Daphnia pulex: one gene and its partners. Each later gene encodes a partner of the first gene's protein in a complex. Links are inferred from orthologs where the notes say so. Each region holds a gene or a part of one and is shown in the gene's direction. Other genes may lie near its edges.

The links. The genes of interacting proteins can lie anywhere in the genome.
Region 2: the proteins of protein unc-80 homolog (region 1) and sodium leak channel non-selective protein-like are in contact, whole or in part, in a cryo-EM structure (PDB 7SX3), measured with the Homo sapiens proteins. The link is inferred for Daphnia pulex from reciprocal best matches to the Homo sapiens genes UNC80 and NALCN. Residues at the interface, in NP_115893.1 of Homo sapiens: Lys1979, Asn2004, Glu2005, Cys2006, Asp2007, Leu2128, Arg2129, Leu2130, Pro2131, Pro2134, Arg2135, Ile2138, Asp2139, Phe2142, Phe2145, Ser2146, Glu2179, Asp2184, Glu2185, Met2187, Leu2188, Asn2191, Asn2194, Ile2198, Leu2199, Glu2202, Ser2226, Leu2227, Ser2228, Gln2231; in NP_001337678.1 of Homo sapiens: Asn639, Met643, Val644, Ile646, Lys648, Leu649, Pro650, Phe653, Val655, Pro656, Lys657, Ile658, Arg659, Glu660, Phe662, Met663, Lys664, Gln665, Phe666, Ile667, Arg669, Val711, Ser713, Arg715, Ala716, Arg717, Leu719, Lys722, Glu723, Ala725.
Region 3: the proteins of protein unc-80 homolog (region 1) and protein unc-79 homolog are in contact, whole or in part, in a cryo-EM structure (PDB 7W7G), measured with the Mus musculus proteins. The link is inferred for Daphnia pulex from reciprocal best matches to the Homo sapiens genes UNC80 and UNC79. Residues at the interface, in NP_780719.2 of Mus musculus: Gln23, Thr24, Trp27, Ser31, Leu34, Arg35, Pro36, Ala80, Pro83, His84, His87, Ser94, Asn95, Asn180, Ala183, Leu187, Phe190, Leu191, Arg337, Leu340, Gln341, Pro342, His343, Arg1317, Asp1320, Glu1321, Asp1324, His1545, Val1546, Asp1547; in XP_030102533.1 of Mus musculus: Thr120, Tyr123, Ser127, Ala130, Thr131, Leu168, Ser169, Ser172, Met175, Ile176, Gln179, Tyr180, Tyr207, Tyr211, Gly212, Pro213, Ser214, Val390, Cys391, Glu394, Glu402, Phe405, Arg472, Cys541, Asp917, Phe920, Ser965, Glu966, Phe967, Ser968.

What each region holds. Positions count from the first base shown.
Region 1 is NC_060024.1:13,414,728-13,420,879, reverse strand, and holds the start of protein unc-80 homolog, read left to right. Parts: upstream 1-1,940; 5' UTR 1,941-2,200; intron 2,201-2,258; 5' UTR 2,259-2,363; intron 2,364-2,431; 5' UTR 2,432-2,835; exon of another isoform or gene 2,836-2,987; intron 2,988-3,687; 5' UTR 3,688-3,729; coding exon 3,730-3,833; intron 3,834-4,011; coding exon 4,012-4,060; intron 4,061-5,334; coding exon 5,335-5,361; intron 5,362-6,152. Other genes in the region: protein fem-1 homolog C-like, read right to left, coding at 1-1,585. UniProt on the Homo sapiens protein: Auxiliary subunit of the NALCN sodium channel complex, a voltage-gated ion channel responsible for the resting Na(+) permeability that controls neuronal excitability.
Region 2 is NC_060028.1:1,974,809-1,979,915, forward strand, and holds the end of sodium leak channel non-selective protein-like, read left to right. Parts: coding exon 1-147; intron 148-218; coding exon 219-413; intron 414-485; coding exon 486-621; intron 622-704; coding exon 705-786; intron 787-854; coding exon 855-1,078; intron 1,079-1,142; coding exon 1,143-1,338; intron 1,339-1,415; coding exon 1,416-1,493; intron 1,494-1,568; coding exon 1,569-1,953; intron 1,954-2,015; coding exon 2,016-2,211; intron 2,212-2,282; coding exon 2,283-2,358; intron 2,359-2,425; coding exon 2,426-2,639; 3' UTR 2,640-3,090; downstream 3,091-5,107. Other genes in the region: CAAX prenyl protease 2-like, read right to left, coding at 3,336-3,589, 3,663-3,731, 3,794-3,961, 4,027-4,171, 4,240-4,342, 4,403-4,500. UniProt on the Homo sapiens protein: Voltage-gated ion channel responsible for the resting Na(+) permeability that controls neuronal excitability. NALCN channel functions as a multi-protein complex, which consists at least of NALCN, NALF1, UNC79 and UNC80.
Region 3 is NC_060021.1:6,772,143-6,777,767, reverse strand, and holds part of protein unc-79 homolog, read left to right. Parts: coding exon 1-414; intron 415-474; coding exon 475-2,197; intron 2,198-2,255; coding exon 2,256-2,379; intron 2,380-2,445; coding exon 2,446-2,695; intron 2,696-2,766; coding exon 2,767-2,873; intron 2,874-2,937; coding exon 2,938-3,105; intron 3,106-3,167; coding exon 3,168-3,697; intron 3,698-3,765; coding exon 3,766-4,393; intron 4,394-4,460; coding exon 4,461-4,577; intron 4,578-4,639; coding exon 4,640-5,013; intron 5,014-5,074; coding exon 5,075-5,196; intron 5,197-5,269; coding exon 5,270-5,424; intron 5,425-5,496; coding exon 5,497-5,625. UniProt on the Homo sapiens protein: Auxiliary subunit of the NALCN sodium channel complex, a voltage-gated ion channel responsible for the resting Na(+) permeability that controls neuronal excitability.

The sequences.
Region 1 (6,152 bases):
GCGACCAGACTTGGTAGTTAATCATGGCCAGCAAGTGAAGCGGAGTATTCCCTTTGGCACTGACGGAATTGGCATCCGCTCCCAGATCGAGCAGCAACTGGATTAGATCAAGGGAAATCGGAGCCCGGCGACAAGCCACGTGAAGAATGTCGCCCTGGTCGAAGTAATTGAACTTGTGATTCGTGCCAATGAAATGGTAAAGAGCTTTCTTGAATCGGTGGCCGTCCTCTTGGCTCAACTTGGGCAGCATCTCGGTTAAATTCAGGACAATATCGTACAAGCAAGTGTCCAGCCGGCCCTTGGCAGCTGGCGCTAATTCCCTCCGCATCTCTTGACGATTAACAACGACAGCAAAGTCAAAGGCCGCCATTAGATTATCGAAAGTAAAGTCTTCCAGACCCTGTTGGCTGAGCGGTGGCATTTTGTTTAACCTCTTGAAGCTGTCGTTCATGATGTCCAGTGCTCCGATGATCGAAAAGTTGATATCCCAACAGTCACTCGGCTGTTGTCGGAATGGCTCCAGCATGAGCATCAAAATGTTGACGACCCGGCTGTACTGGCCGGCATCGTAGAACTCGTAAGCGTACGTGTAGAGTCTGTACAGAGTGAAGGAATGGGGCTCCGGAATCAATTGACCCATAATACGCTGGATAGCCCAAATAGCTTGAGTAAAGAGCTGGATGTTGTTGTTGGCGTTGTCGAGTTGCTCCAGTTCTTGCGGAGTTGTTATTTCAAAAGAGAAGCCCATGGCCTTGCGAGAAATGTCGGACGTTTGCGGAAGAATTTTGGGTATTGGCGGCTCGACGCTCGAAGGATGACGTAGATTCATAGCTTCTCTCCAGTACTGCAGTCCACGCCGTCGGGTTGTTTGATTGTTGTTTCTGGGATGTACGAGATCGTGATGAATGTAAGCGGCCCCCAATAGCTCCAAGACATTAATCTTCTCCTGGCTCGGCTGCAAACTCGCGAGGATCTCATTGATTCCGGCTCTTTCGTCGACCAAGTTGAGATGCTGGTACTCGAGCATGTATTTGAAGATGTAAAAATCGGCGCAAATGATGGCCATAAACAATGGCGGGACGTCCAGGTATTCAACGCCGTTCCAGGTAAAGTTACCAATCCGACAGCTGTCGACTTTCAAATCATCCATCAGGTATTGGACGAGAGCAAGGTCCCTGCGTCGGATGGCCACTACGAGAGCCGTTTCTCCGCGTTCATTGTGCGATTCGACCAGCCAGGCTTTGACTTCCGGTTCCACATTGCCGAGCGTGAGTTGCAAGGCAGACAAACATCCGTTTTCCAATGTTTCGAAAAAGACTGCGCGATGCTGAGCAAACGGATCTACTGGTATTGGCTCTTCCGGTGTTGGAGGCAGCTCGAGTGCTGGCGTCGACGAGTGAAACCTCTTGTTTGGAAATGATTCCGGCTCCAGCGATGGTGTTGACAATGATGGAAGATCATCTGCCTGGGAGTTTGGCCAAACTCTACGCCAAATACGCCTCCACCCAGTGGCGAAACGAATCAACATACGTCGCCAAATCGGTCGAATGACACGTCCAACAGTGTCGTAAAAAGCTTCCAACATTTTTATTAGCTTCAAGTAAGTTGTTAAATATCCAAAGATATCGTTATGCAATTCTAATGTCATTCGTGATCCTATTTATGTGCTGCAAATGCATTTCTCACGTTGGCATCGGCGAATTTCCATCATTCATCGATTAGTTACATAATGAAGCTTAGTCTAATTAAAATAATTCCTTTTGAGACGTCTTCGCATGATTTTATCGCATTATTGTCAAAAGGAATAAATAACGTCGGAGCGGATTATTGATTTCTTTTCTTTTGTTTTCAAATCTCAGCGGTGGCCGAGCTGCTCAGATTTTATCGTGAGATTGGAGTTGGTGCGCGTGTCGGCCGATAGGGGGCCAGCAATTCAGTCTTAACTTGGACTGAGCGCCAAGAACTCGATCCGTCAAACATTGGCGAAGTATTTCCTGTGCTCGTGTTCCTGATTTATGGTCGAATGACACATTGAAAAGTTTATTTACTCACTTCCTGATACCTTTCTTTTTATGCTACTCTTTTCTGAACAAACGATCATCGAAAGTTCAGAGCCATCTTTGAGCTCCTTCAGACCTCTCCACCAAAACGTGAAATGTGCTCGTTTCTCGACGTGAAGTTTTCATCTCTGGTCGGGCAGGTAATGGTTATTTTCTTTTTAGATCAACTTGAGTTGAAATCTATTGATTTTTGGCCAGGAAATTCCTTTTCCTGAGGACTTTGGTACAAAGTGAATTAGCCCCACGATGAATCTTGTTTGTGGAAGCAGAATAATGAAGGATTGAACAATAAGGATCAATTAGGTACTGATTAAACATTAATGAGAGATTGCAGAACATGCCATATGCTTTATTTTCATTTGTTGTTGCAGGGGGACACATGCCGGTGGCAGTGCCCATTTCGTCAACATAAATTGCAACTGATGTAGTGTGCATTGTCTGGATGCATTCTGTAAGCCAATAATTTGATCAGCAGAGTCGGCCTATATTCGATTGTTTCGAATTCCGGGACAACTGCTGACCCGTGCTGGCTGGCGGGATCGAGTTTCACCCATCTCGAATTGATCGGGAAACCCTTGGCTGGAGAGAGAAAGAGATGTTGTGTGTAGGACGGTGTGCCCAGGCAGCCAACCAGCAGCAGGGCCCAGCCTAGGAAAAAGAGAACGAGAGAGATAGAGAAGAACTGCCGAGCTTTTGGCTGTAGCTTCCTTTTGAATCCGCTGTCGAACGGCAGCAATAGAGGCGCATGAGCGGAAGATTGCAAGGACGTGATGCTGTAAGTCCTCCTCCTCCTCCTCCACGAGCCGTGTTGTGGTTCGGGAGACGTAAAGGGATCCTGCTTCATCCAAGTCGCATCAAACACCTTCTCTCTCTTTCCCTCTCTGTCACACACTCCCCACACCATTCCTCTCTCATGGATTAACTCAGGTGAGCAGTTCACTTTCAAAAGAATAAAGAAACGAAAGGGGGGGGGGTGACAAATCAACAACAGCACGAACATGTGATTTGTTGCATTCACGCAGATTAGCAGTCACGATCCCAGTCAACCCTCCCATCTCTCTCTCTCTCTGTGTGTCGTGTGTCTGTGAACTGACTTGCTTTTTCTCGTGTCGAGGGGTTTCTCTCGTCGGCTCTTCACACAACTGGCAAGCAAAGCGAAATGTTTTGTTTGTTTATTGATATATGCCGACGACGACGACGTCGTCTATGTGTGTGTGTGTGTTGTTGATTTCCTTCAAACGTGGGGGTGGTGCTGGGCTGGGGGGGCATCTGCATCATCGTCTTGTTTGCTTTTCGAGTGTGTTACATTGATCGCCTCTATATGGTAGTAGAAGTAGTAGGACGAACGACGACGACGACTCTCTTCTGGCGATTTATATTGGATACACCCAGGGGTACCCTAGTACCAATCCAATTTCACTCCTAGTGAGAGAGAGAGAGAGAGCTACGGTCGATCGATAAATTTGTTATCAGTGCAATCTAGTCACGTCAACGAGCTTGTACAATTTGACGATATTTATACCAAGTTTTTTTGGGGGCGTTTTCATTTTATTTTTATTTTTCTTCTTTTTTTCTTTGTGTGTTTGTGTGTGTGTGACGGTGAAATTTTCTGGGGCCCCCTCGATAGTTTCGACGACATTCGTCTGGCTTCCCGACGACGAACTAGGCCATGGATTCCGGCACCAAACAGAAGAAGAAGAATGGAGCTGATCAGCCGGTCTCCGAGGATATCGTCCCTCTACACATCCAGACCTTTCTCTGGAGGCAGACGAGGTACGTACGTACACAAGCACTGTGTATATCCACTATATACTACGAGTACTCTCTTTCTCTTGTCTATTTGAAAATCCTTTTAGAGGCTAGAAAGAAGTTAGATATAGGAGCCGCCGACTATTCTTCATCATTTTCTTTCTAAACCGAATTTTCTCTTTTTCTCTGTCTGTTTTTACAGTTCCTTTCTTCGCCCGAAAATCGGCAAAATGCACGAAGCCAGCTGCATTGTGAGTAATATTGTTTCAACAACTTTTTTGATAATGACACAATGAACCCGGTACTTATAGTCCATCTACACCCGAGCCAAAACTAAAAAAAAAGAAAACAGGAGCCAGGAAAGAGTCTAAACGGGCATATAGGGTCTACTAGTCTATCTACGGAGCGGTGTTTTATGAGGAGTCAAACGACCCAATTGAATTGGAAAGTTTTTCCAGAGTGTAATGGCAAAACGGTGTCACTTGGCAGTCAATCAGCCGCTGGCTGGCTGACTGGGCTGGCCCCCTCTCTCTCTCGTCTTTCTCTCTCTCTTTGCCGGGCTGGCGCGGTCGCCAGGTTCGTTAACGGCCAGTCGATCGAAAGCGATGACGACGGCAGCAATTGATTGTGCGTTTCCCTCCCGTCTCCTTTCCTCATTCAATGCCGCCTCTTTTCCATCCCATCGGAGAAGCTGAGGCGACTTCTTCAAGGAGCTCTCCTCCCTTTTTTTTCTTCCTTCCCTCCTACTCTCCTCTCTCCTCTCTGTGTGTGTCTATCTGGAGGGCATTGTGTGTAGGAGCCGCTCCTCCTTGGCGAAAAGAGGTGGGTAGGGAGAGAGAGAGGAAAGGACAGGAAGGAGAGGCTATTGATTTTCCGTCCGCGGGAGAAAAGAGAAGCTAGGAGCAAGGAAGAAGAGGTCGTCGTCGACGACGACTGGGAGGTGGGTTACCCACCCCACCCCCACAGCACCACCACCCACCCACCCATCTCCTCTATTCCCATCTCGGGAGCCAAAAGAAATGTTTGCCGTTCATCTCTCGCTCAACTCTAGACTAGTACTACTACTAGGACTACAACCAGTGCTCCTACTACTCACTCCTGGCCGGGAGGAAGGGCCATGTCGAGGCCCTACAGCCTTTACACAATATACAAGGAGCTAAGAGCGATGCCAAGTCTCTTTTACTCTTTTTATCTATAGCCAATGACGTTTCAAATGGGTGTGTGTGTTTCTCTCTCTCTACTGCCATATACCCACAGCAAAAAACCATTCACGCTCCAATCGCTCCGCCTGACGTCACCGGTTTCAATTCTATCAAACTTAATCATAATTTGTTTTATTTTTTTCTCTTAAATCCATCAATTTTAATCGACTTCATTCTTTTTCTACAATTCTCTCTGCTCGGTTATTGATTACTATTTTCTCTCGACATTTCATTTGTTCATTTTTTCTATTTCTTTTCTCGTTTTCCGTACGTGAATGTGTGTCCTTATCCTTTTGTACCTGGTTATCCATGGTGACACACAGTTCTGCCAACAGGCGCCAGGCCATCATGTAAGTCATGAGAAATAGCCACCAACAAACGGCTAGTTGTATATAGTAGAGTAGCGTGTAAATCTAGATCTATATTGCGACTGCTGCTGCTGTACATAAAACACAACCAAAATCACAATTTCATCAGCTGCTGACTGTAATACCCCCCGTCCGTCCGTGAGAAAAGAATCAAGTAGCGAGCAGTGCATGTCACTGATTGTCCCCGTTGTTTCTACACAACCCCCAACACCCGCCGTGATTGGGTAGTAGTACCATAGCTGCCGCTACTACACACTAGATATATTGCCCCGTAAATACCGTGTGCTGCTCGTTTATGAGGACTCCTTACCACCACCACCACCACCAGAAAACCCTCTAACCCACCACCGCCAACCCCGCTTGTAGACGTCACCACCCCCACACACAGTCCTGTGTTCGTATAACATCCGCGTTTGCGTGTGCATCAACAGCAGCACGTCAAGTCTTTTTTGTTTTGTTGAGTTTTTTTATTTTGAATCGTCGTTTGACACACATACACACGCTGTCGACTTGTTTATAGTCGACATATTGTTGTGGGACGACACGGTAAAATGGTCTTTTTCATATCGGCAACAGACGACACAAAAAAAGGAGAATTTTTTCACAGCACCGGAAGAATTTCCTCGTTTGATCCATTTTTTATTATTTTTCCTTATTTCTTTCTTTTTCTTTTCGTCTGGTCCTTTATTTTATTTTATTTGTGATTTGTATGAATGTGTGGATGGACGGTTATTTCGTTGCATCCAGCTTGGATGTTGGTCTTGTGTATAATG
Region 2 (5,107 bases), on another chromosome or scaffold:
TTGAAAATCGCTCAGCCTTTGCATCTTCCGCCACGCCCGGAAGGCCACAGATTCCGTGCGTTTATTTACGATATCACTCAGCATATCTACTTTAAAAGATTCATCGCTTTGATGGTCATACTCAATAGTAGCCTCCTCTGCGTCTCGGTAAGTAGATACCTACGATATTGTCTTTTTAAATTACGTTGTAATTTGAGATTTATCTTTTTTTCATCTAGTGGCGCGAGGATCAAGCACACACTTCTTTGTTGGCCACTATCAGCTCCTGTTTGAGCTTCGTTTTTGTGGCCGAAGTGTCGATGAAGATGATCGCTTTCACTCCTCACGGCTATTGGCAGTCCCGGCGCAATCGCTACGATACTTTGGTCACCGTCATGGGTCTCGTCTGGGCAATAACCAACTACACTATGGGCGTAATAGCGTCATCTCACTTTCCTATGCCCAGTATTACTGATTCAATCTTTTTTTTTTTCCTTTCATATTAGAACGATTTATCCCATTCGTTCGGTTTCGTCGCCATCATCCTGCGCTTCTTCACCATCACGGGCAAACACGCCACGTTGAAAATGCTGATGCTCACCGTGGTCGTCTCCGTCTACAAGAGCTTTTTCATTATTATGGGTACCTATAATACCTCGTACAATCTACATCTCTTAGCACACAATTTTATACCGATGTCGTTTATTTCTTTCCGTCGAATGCAGGCATGTTCTTGCTCATCTTCGTTTATGCCCTGACCGGCTGTCTGCTCTTCGGTACGGTCAAATACGGCGAAAGTGTTGGAAGGTATTAATTATTGGCATAAAGTTATTATTCTTATGAGAATTATTTCATCTTCTTTTATGTCTGTAAAGGCAAGCCAACTTTGGCAGCACGCCTAGGGGCATCATCATGCTGTTCCGTATTGTGACGGGAGAGGATTGGTACAAAATCATGCACGACTGCATGGTGTTGCCGCCGTTTTGCACACCGGGCGCCAATTATTGGGAAACGGATTGCGGCAATTTCACGGCTGCCATGATCTTTTTCTGCTCCTTTTACGTTATCATCACGTACATCGTTCTCAACCTTCTTGTCGGTACGGGGTTTGATATACCAAGTGCATCCTCCGATAACTAAAACCTATTCTTTTTCTGGGTTAGCGATTATTATGGAGAACTTTTCCCTCTTCTATTCCAACGAAGAGGACGCCCTTCTCTCCTACGCCGACATCCGCAATTTCCAAAATACGTGGAACATTGTGGACGTCAACCAGCGCGGTGTTATTCCCGTACGGAAAGTCAAATTTGTCCTGCGTCTACTCAAAGGCCGTCTCGAAGTCGATCCTCAAAAGGATCGGTAGGCGATTTAATATAATTCCATCAAATAATTTTGACAACGAATGTTTCACTTCAACTTGTAACATTAATTTTTAGGCTCCTTTTCAAGCACATGTGCTTCGAGTTAGAACGACTACACAACGGAGAAGATGTCACCTTCCACGACGTTCTGAAGTAAAACAATTCAAATTAGAAACCTATTTCTGTTACGTATATTTAATCAACGCTATATTTTAATTGTTAATGTAGCATGCTGTCGTATCGTTCGGTGGACATCCGCAAGTCGCTGCAACTGGAAGAGCTTTTGGCCCGTGAAGAGCTTGAGTACATCATCGAAGAAGAAGTGGCCAAGCAAACCATTCGCCAGTGGCTGGATTCGTGCTTGAAACGAATGAAGACTGTGAATATTCACGACACCGTTTGTTCTCCCCCTATTTTTTTGTTGTTTTTTTGGTGTCTTTCCCTTCCCCTGACGTTACGCAATTTAGTGATTCATTTGTTCATCTTACAGAAGGAGCACAATAGCTTATTGGCCGGTTTGCGGGCTACCAACGACCAACTTCAAGAGGCCCAGGAAGAAAAAAACCGGGAATTCAACGCTGGAGGTGCCGAAAGAGATATTTCTGAAGTGAAGGTGTGATCAATTGCGTTATATACATAATTCTGGCGGTACTAAATTGAAACTGGGCATTGCAGGAGGCGGAAGGAAGTGGCAAACATCGTCGGAAGGGTATGCTGGTCACACGCTCTGACAGCATCAACAGCGTCAGCGGTCGACGCTTGTTTTACGCTCCTTGCCACGGCGCCGATGGAATCTCCCAGCAACGATCCACCTACGACAAGGAAAGGCTGGGCGTTTCATCCAATCCGAAGAAGAGGCCATCACGTCAAAGTAATTAAAGTCTTATGTTTACAGGACCCGTGAATAGATTGCTGTAATCGGGATACTTTTTCATTCAACAGGTACCGGAAAAGGGATTCCTTCTTCCAGTTTTTCGCACTCGGCGGGCGAGTGTAGTCCTGGTGCCAGTCCAACTTGGTGAGACGTTATTTTTATTGATTTAAATCGTGAACATTTAAATGACTGGCTTTTTGAATTTGTCTAGTCCAACAACAGGTGGCCAGCACGGCCTTGTCTTCCCGTACTCGAGCATTGGTGGCGGTGCTTCTTCCAACTGGTCAAGCCGCGGCTCTGGCCATCCGCTTCCGCCGTTGGCACCACCCAGTGCTTTGGCCGTTCGCGTGGCATCGGCCGTTACTGAGGTTCAGGACTGGTGGCGGGATCAACTCGCCTCTCCCGACGGTTCCGATGAAGATTAATTAATACGTCAACCCACACACAAAAACCAAATATCTTCCTTTTGCGAAAAGCACAATTCTAGTGAACAATTTAATTCGACAAATAATGAAGCATAACAAACCACATAGTTATATATAGTCGGACATCTGTGCCAAGTCAAAGTTTATTGTTTAGATCTAAAAATGTTGTCTCAAATTACTTGGTACGACGTAAACGTGCCAGTTACCACCCCACAATCTCTTTTAGCAACCAAACATTCTCGTTTAAAGTTTCCTATTTGAGTTTCCAATGAAAAAAGGATCGATTTAAAAATATCCTGATTCATACATGACGAAGATACGTACAAGTTATTCGCACATTCGATTTCTAGTATATCGCTGTTACGAGGAAACACGGGTGGAGCATCTTGCGGCCCTTGGATGGAGTACACAGTGTTCCTCTGGATTCTAATTAATACAACTATTTAAAACATTTGAGCCTTTTCCTATTCTATAATAGTGTCAAGAGTTTATTCACTAAATTTTATTAGAATATTGAAAACAACATCTTTTTATTTCTTTTGTGCGTAGGGTAGAAAAAAAATTTGATTCTAATTTTTCAGGATCCGGGAAGACTGGAAGAGCATGAATAAATGCATAACTGTTTTAAAAGAAACTGAAGCAGCAATGTATATTTCTATGACTCAGAAAAAGCACGCGTCGAGAAAACTTTAATACTCAAGGATTATTATCATAAAGAGTTGGTTCTGTTAAAGGCCAGAGTAGGAAATACCACCCCAATAGCCCAACGACAAAAGCTGAAGCCAACACAATCCTTTTCCAACCGTTCAGTCGGCCAATCTCACCGAAATCGGGGAAACCCATCACGTTACAGAATGCGTGCGCAACACACGGAGCGGCAACATTACCCGTTCGAATAAATAAAAATGCGGCGTACATTCCGAAAAGGGTGGTGTAAGCAAACTGAAAACCTGAGAATAACGGAAATGCATTAGACAAACTCACCTTCATTGATTTACTAAATGTATAAATTTGTTTTATTACATGATAGTAGTAGAGACTGAGCTAAAGGCATTCCTTGCCGCCAACGCTCGACCATATGATGAAAATGCCCTAAAAGTAGAATATTTGTATATTTCTAAAAGGAAAAATAACATAATAATTATGAATCTTACCGACTCCAAAAAACAGCGGACTGACTAGGACTGCTTGTGAATTTGAATAGCACTTGAGAAGCTGGGGAAGCATGCACGCTCGAAACGTAAATTCCTCTGAGATCGGTGCAACAATTTGGTTGCGGATCCACAATATATCATGCAGGTTATTTTTCCAGCATTCTGCACCTATAATTAAGATAAGTTTGATTTAATTCTATTTACTTATAATATTTGAAATAAAAAAACTCAACTGAATAAGTCTTTCCATGACCCATCAAAGAATGAACTGGTGATTGGCCCTAAAAAGAGGACACTCGTCAAAATCACTGGTACTGAGATGGCTAATAATAAGCCATTCCACCTTAACCCCAATAAAGTAAGAAGATCAATTGATTCCTAAGAAAATCATTACAAACACAATTCATTATTTACGTTTTGAATGTTATTAAAGGAAAAATACTTACTTGGGGCTTCATGTATTTTAATGTGATGTACACAATCACTGGAGCTACAAATAGCATGCAGAATGCACTGATGAATCTACGAATCACCGTTTTGGGGTGATTTCTAAAGTAAGCCAATAAATAATTTATGGTTTCTTTCTAAGAATTATACTGACTATACTACCGATCTTCATTTGATTTCCAAATATAGAGGCTCCCAACATAGACAGAAGCTAGGAAAAAGCAGGATAAGTTTGCCGTCATAAAACAGGTTTCGTCCATGATGATGTAATGGGCCGGTTTTGCCGTTTTTACCGTCAGCAACTAACAGTTAATCATCATAAGTAATTTTGATGGCCTGTTAAGGTAATTTAAATTGTTGTTTTGAATAAGAAACAAAAATGTACGGTATTTTAATAAAATCGGGAAATCAAACAGCCGGAAACTTACAGGATTCAACTGACATGACAGACAGAGTGACATTCATTGTTCGTCTGCATGAAATAAATATTAACTAATGCACTCTAGTGGCAGATTTTTATACCGAAAGGTGAAAACGTGTGTTTCTGTACAGTCAGTAATAAATAACGAACGATTACGAATTTTTCGTTTGTTTCCGTGCGAGTGGTGCGACGGATGGATTTTAGGACAATTGGATTTTTGAAAATGAACAAGAATCTTGTTCGTTTTATTCTTACGTAGGCTATCTTTATAGCTTGTAAAGAAAAGAGTGTAGCTTTCATTGAATTGAAAATAAGCTATGGGAGACTTTTAAAAGGTGGGTGGGGTTGATGCGGGACTTTCCCCAATATACTGGTTTGTCGTTACTGCCAGGATATGTTAATCCATTCAATATTGCGTTTTGTGTCATCTGAAGCTATTTCATTTG
Region 3 (5,625 bases), on another chromosome or scaffold:
CACTAGCTCAGCATTGCCTCACGCTTTTAAAAGATATGATTCACGTCCGGCAATGCATGCTGCATAATTGCACGTCGGCTGATTGCTACATGTGTAGTCTGTTGACATCGTGGTATCAGCTGGCGCAGGAGTTGATTGCTTTCTACTCGCCACTGCACGCGGCCGTCGTTAGTGAGTGTTTCGAAGAGCTCGAAAATTGCGTGGAGATGGCCGCTGCCCAGTCAGTCCAGCAACAACAGCAACCCAGCCCTGGTGAACAGCAGACAAACAAACCGGAAGAGGCTATATCAACCGTTTATTATCAAGAACAACAACAACAAGTATTACAACTGGGTGAAGTCAGAACGGCCAAGATGGAGACCGTGTCCGAGTTAGATCTGGCACCGATCCTACCATCAGAAAGAGTCCTCAGAGGTATTTAAACTTAAAACATTTTGATTTTTTAAGATATAGTAACTTGATTTTCTTGTTTAGCTGTGGCCAATGCTGTGACTTGCACTGAAATGGAAGTGGCCGGCTGCAAAGCCCAAGTAGCTCAGCCGAGCATGTTGACGGACGTGGATCCTTCAGACCACATGGATCATCCAGACCATCAACAGCCGAATCAACAATATTGGGTGACGACGGCCGGCAAATTTCGATTTGCGCTGGATGAATTGCCGAATCACCTCCAACTCATTTACGGATTCCTGAAAGAGCTCTACCACTTGATCCGACCGGACACTCAGCGACATCTACTCCGCTGCGTCGAAATCCTTTGTCTACACTGCGAGGTGCTCAGTAAATCCGCCTGTCGCGAGCATCCAGGCTTCCTGTTTTGGGTTCAAGAAAACCTCACCGTGGCCCAGCTCTGGAATCTCCTCGAGAGTCAAACATCGCACGTCGCCCAGACGTGTGCCTCTCTCTTGCTGCACTGTCTCACTCTTCCGGGTGGATCGGATGTCTTCTGGAAAATTATGGAATCGGATTTCCACTCGCGCGATTGGAAGACTCGCTTTTCATCCGTGGAGCGGATGATGTTGGTGTGCCAATTTCTGGACGATCCCACCGTCAAACAGAGTTCCATTTTACAGTCGATCCTGACCAACGCCTTTTGTTTCCTCATTTCATCAATGGACGATATCAACACGGCTGTAGCCAACCGGGCAACCATACTCCTCGAGAGCTTGCACGATGGATCGCTTAAACTGCTCGTTTGGTGTATGGAACAGCAGTTTGACAGTTTCATCAGCGACAGACCTCTGTTGTTGCACTCTATTATGGCCCTGCATCATCACCCTTGGCTGACCAAACGCAAGATCATTTCGTGGAAATTCTTTTTCAATCGTTTCGACGCTCTGTATTTGGAAGCCCAGTTGAGCCTACAGCGGGCCGGGGAATTGATTGAACCGCGAGATCTCAAGTCCAGTCACATGTCAAACGAAAGCTTCAACAAGAAATTGCAGAAAGCTCGTGAGGCCATCAAGCGCTACGCTCCTAGCAGGTCTAGTTCGCCGACTCAACAGCAACCGAGGAGCTTGATGCGGTCGTTGAGCCTGTCAACTCATCGCTTCAATCGCCGAAAGTCTACACCCAATCATCACCCACAGCACGGAGTGACCAAGAGTTACAGCCGACAAAGTTCTTCAGCCCAGTTGAAGTTGATGCGATCCAGGGGCGCTCTCGGTGGCGACAGGATGAACAATCAACAAGCGTCTCAAGAAGAAGCCTACGTTGCTCTCTTCATGCAACGTTGCTCGGAACTGGACGACTACGATGGTGAAACCCACTCTTTACTGTTGACTACGCTGATGCAATTCCTGGCGCAGCCAGATCTCGCCCAGTTGAGCGACGATAAGTTCCAATCGCAAATTCAGAACCTGGTCCTTCGACATTTGAGTCTTTTGCTGGGCTACGGACCCACCGAAAGAGCTTTCTGTTTGACACCACAGAAACTCAGAGCATCGGCTCCTTTCAACGCCTTTCTCTCGGCTCTTCCGCAAGTTCTGGATCGTAATTTAGCTATCGGAGCCAATCTTCTGCCCATGACGTTATCTTTGATGATTTTCTGCCCCGCCCCGCCGTCAAAGAACAACGGTCCTGGAGGTAATTCGTGGTTACAATGTCATGGGCAAGCTGGTGTGCCCATCACAACTCACGGATCCATGAGTAGCGTTGGTTTCGCTTCCGGCTCAGCTGCTGCAGCAGCTTCGAATAAGTAAGTTCACCATCCTTTGATCAATTTTGAAATTATTTAATTTCCTTCAATTACTTAGCGTCAACGATCGACACAACGGCACGACTCCACAAAGAGCCTACAAACCGACCTATTCCCTATGGTATTTGGAAACTCATCCTCGACGGATGTGGCTACAAACAGTGTTAGTAATCCTCTACAAGGTTTGTTTATTTACTATGAAAAAGATTGGGCCAACTTTATTAAATATTTCTTCTGCATTGTTGCAGTATCGTTATAACCAACCGAATTTAGCTCCGTTAGTACAGAGCATCATCCGGATCGTTCTTAACACTCTGGAATCTCAATACCATCGCTGTTATCGCTACGGTGGTATTGGGGCCACTTTAAGTCACGGCCATCCATCGACAGCGCAGCATCAACTCCATGGGGTCTCTTCAACTGCAACTATGAGGATGAGAGACCAGAGTCAAGGCTCTTTGGAAGTAGAGACTCCCATTGATCCAACAGATCTAAAAGGTTTTTATTTAAGGATTCAGCGATTTGCTGAACGATTTTTAAATGTTTATGCTTAAAATTGATTTATTTAGGAAGAGCAAATGTCATTGGACACGGTGTAGGAGCTGTTCTTGGCATAGCTGGATTGGTCTGGGGCTCCTCTACAATTCAACATCAAATTCAGCTACAAGTTGCAACGGTAAATCTTATCTCTAATACGTTGATGACGAATTATTTGCTGATTTCTTTTTCCGCTATTACAGAAATCTAACGTCACATTGACGTCCCGACGTGAGTTGACTGGAAGTATCTCTAGTGAATGTGACATCGACGCTGACGTTGATGGCATAGAACTTGAAGTTATACCTGAGAGTCCCAAGAGTAGTCGGCCGGATCCTGATTGGGATCGAGATTCACTTGCTGAAGTCGAGGTAAATATTTTCTACGCCGAGTTTCATCCTTTATGTAATCATTGGGTCTTTTCTATCAATAGGTTCTCTCAGAAATGTCACAGCAAGAACCGAATTCCGCCACTGCAGCGTCAGAAGTATCGCTGGCGGCCTGTGTCCGACAACCATCGGGTGTCTATGAAGCCCATACAATTGTGTCGCACCGTCAGGTCAATGCAGCGGACGCCGCTGCCGCCGCCGCAGCAGCCACAGCGACACCTACGGGAGTCAGAACTCGACAGAGAAAAATGGGCATCTCTATGGGAACCATGGGTCCCGAAATTCCGTTTCTATCCACCGAACAATCAAACCGTCAGCAACAACAGCCTCAGATTGAAACCCCAGCACCTCATCCAGCCCCTGTCAATCACGCAGTACATACGCCCATGAAACAGAGCTGTCTTCGCGTCGGTGACGAAGTGGCGTGTCACCGTTGTTCCAAATGCAACGCACCATTTGAAGAATTCAGCGAAGAAGAACTCGGATTATGTATCGTCATTATATCGACGTTCGTTCATCGCGAGCCTGCTTTGGCTGCTACTATGCTACCAGAAATTCTCCGCTGTAACGCAAAGTACCTCAATTTTTATTTGCTATGAAATTAACATGATGTGAAGCTAAGTTTTAAATTTAAACTTATAGGTGGGCGGGAAGTACGACATATACCTGGCAAATGGGTAGCAATTTGTACGTACCCGGTGAAGTTGGTGCGATTGCTCGCCAATTTCTCCGGTGCCTGTTGCATCAGCTCACACCAAACAAGGTCTTCATCCAATTATTCCAGACTCAAGTGCCTGAAGAGATGAAGCAGTCTTTCTTCAAGACGATGGCATCGGCGTTGACGGATTTCGTTGAACTGACTCCGGCGGCACCGCTCCAGTTGTTGCTCGAGTCACTGAATGAGCAAAAACAGTTGTCGCCAGCCCAGATCGCCATGATGTTGCCCAATGTGGCCTGCTATATCGAGTGTCTTCCGCCGCTCGAATTGAGTGCCCAGATTTGGACCCCTCTATTCGCTCAGCTGGAAATCTTCTGTACGCGACTCATTCTAGTCTTACCGCTGCTGAATGGCAATCCAATTCACAGCAATTCGCTTTTGAGAATTATGGGCAGCACAAACCGTGTGGCAGCACTTCAACTCGCCCCATCTCGTGGCAGCATACTTGATTCTTTCGCCAAGATCCTGCTCTACATCATTCAACATTGGGCTGGCTTTGATTACAAGCATCTCGTGGAACTCTGTCACCTGGCTTTCCGGTCCTTCAACAAGGTAACTTACGATTCCCAATTTTTACGAAATCTTGAAAATGATTGAGTGGATAACTTTACTATTGCAGGATCGGGAGAAGTACATGTTGACAAGGACGCTCGTCGATGAACTAGTGTCGGTAATGAAACTAAAATCAAGTCTTCCAGATTCTACCTTGATCATTTTGGTGCATTTCACCTTGCAAGTGAGTAAAAAAATAACTTGAAACTGTTTTATTCATAGTTATATGTTGGCTTTGCTAATTAGGACGCTGGAGGAACTTTGCCACCCCATTGCCTGTTAATGGATGAAATGGATTGCGGTGCCAACACTGTCAAGTTATCCGGATCGGATGGATCTGTAGGCGCTGGCACCACGGGTGCATTTGACTGCATCCGTCCACACTTTAGCGATATTATGGACTTTTTGGCCGACGTTCATACGCTTAGCAAATTGAAGAGCAATAGCAGGGCTATGAGTCCTGGTCCCGGTTTGGATGAAGATACTCTTGGCGGAACGGTCAAAGCCGGAATGGCCCAACTCTTGGCGTTGGAAGTCGTTCGTGGAAATGGCAAGGATAACAAATGCCTTCAGCGTTACATGCCCTGGTTATTGAACCCGCCATCCTCCATCCAGCAAGGGTACCATTGTTTTAAAAACATATTCTATTTGTAAAATGTGTTGACGAATATCATTTTACAGGCCGCGAGAGTTTCTGGAGTGCGTTTGTCATGTGAGATTGTTGTCTTGGCTCTTACTAGGGGCATTGCAACATACAGCTTTGGTTACTCACACACATTCTAATGGACCACTTTCCGTATCAAGTAATGATAATGAATCACCGTCTTTTTTGCATTTTTGTTTGCACATTCAGTAATTGTATTTTTCAAACTATAGTAGGCGCTACATCTAATCCTTGTTTGCCGCTACCAATCGAAGTCTCGTGTTCGCTGGCCGATCACATTCAGGGTATATTAGCTGGTTTCGCGGAGCAGTCGAAGACGTCCGTACTTCACATGTCATCTCTCTATCATGCCTTCCTGCTCTGCCAAGTTTGTTTACAATTTTTATTTGAATATTGACCCATTAAAACATAAATTTTGCCATCATACGGTATCTATCAGCTTTGGACGATTTACTTGGAGTTCATGGCTGGCCAGTTGGGTAATAATTCTAACGCAGAGCAGCAAGCTACCATTTTCAACGTTCTAGTAGATTTCTGGAGCAAAATTACTCCTTCCGTATTACAGTTG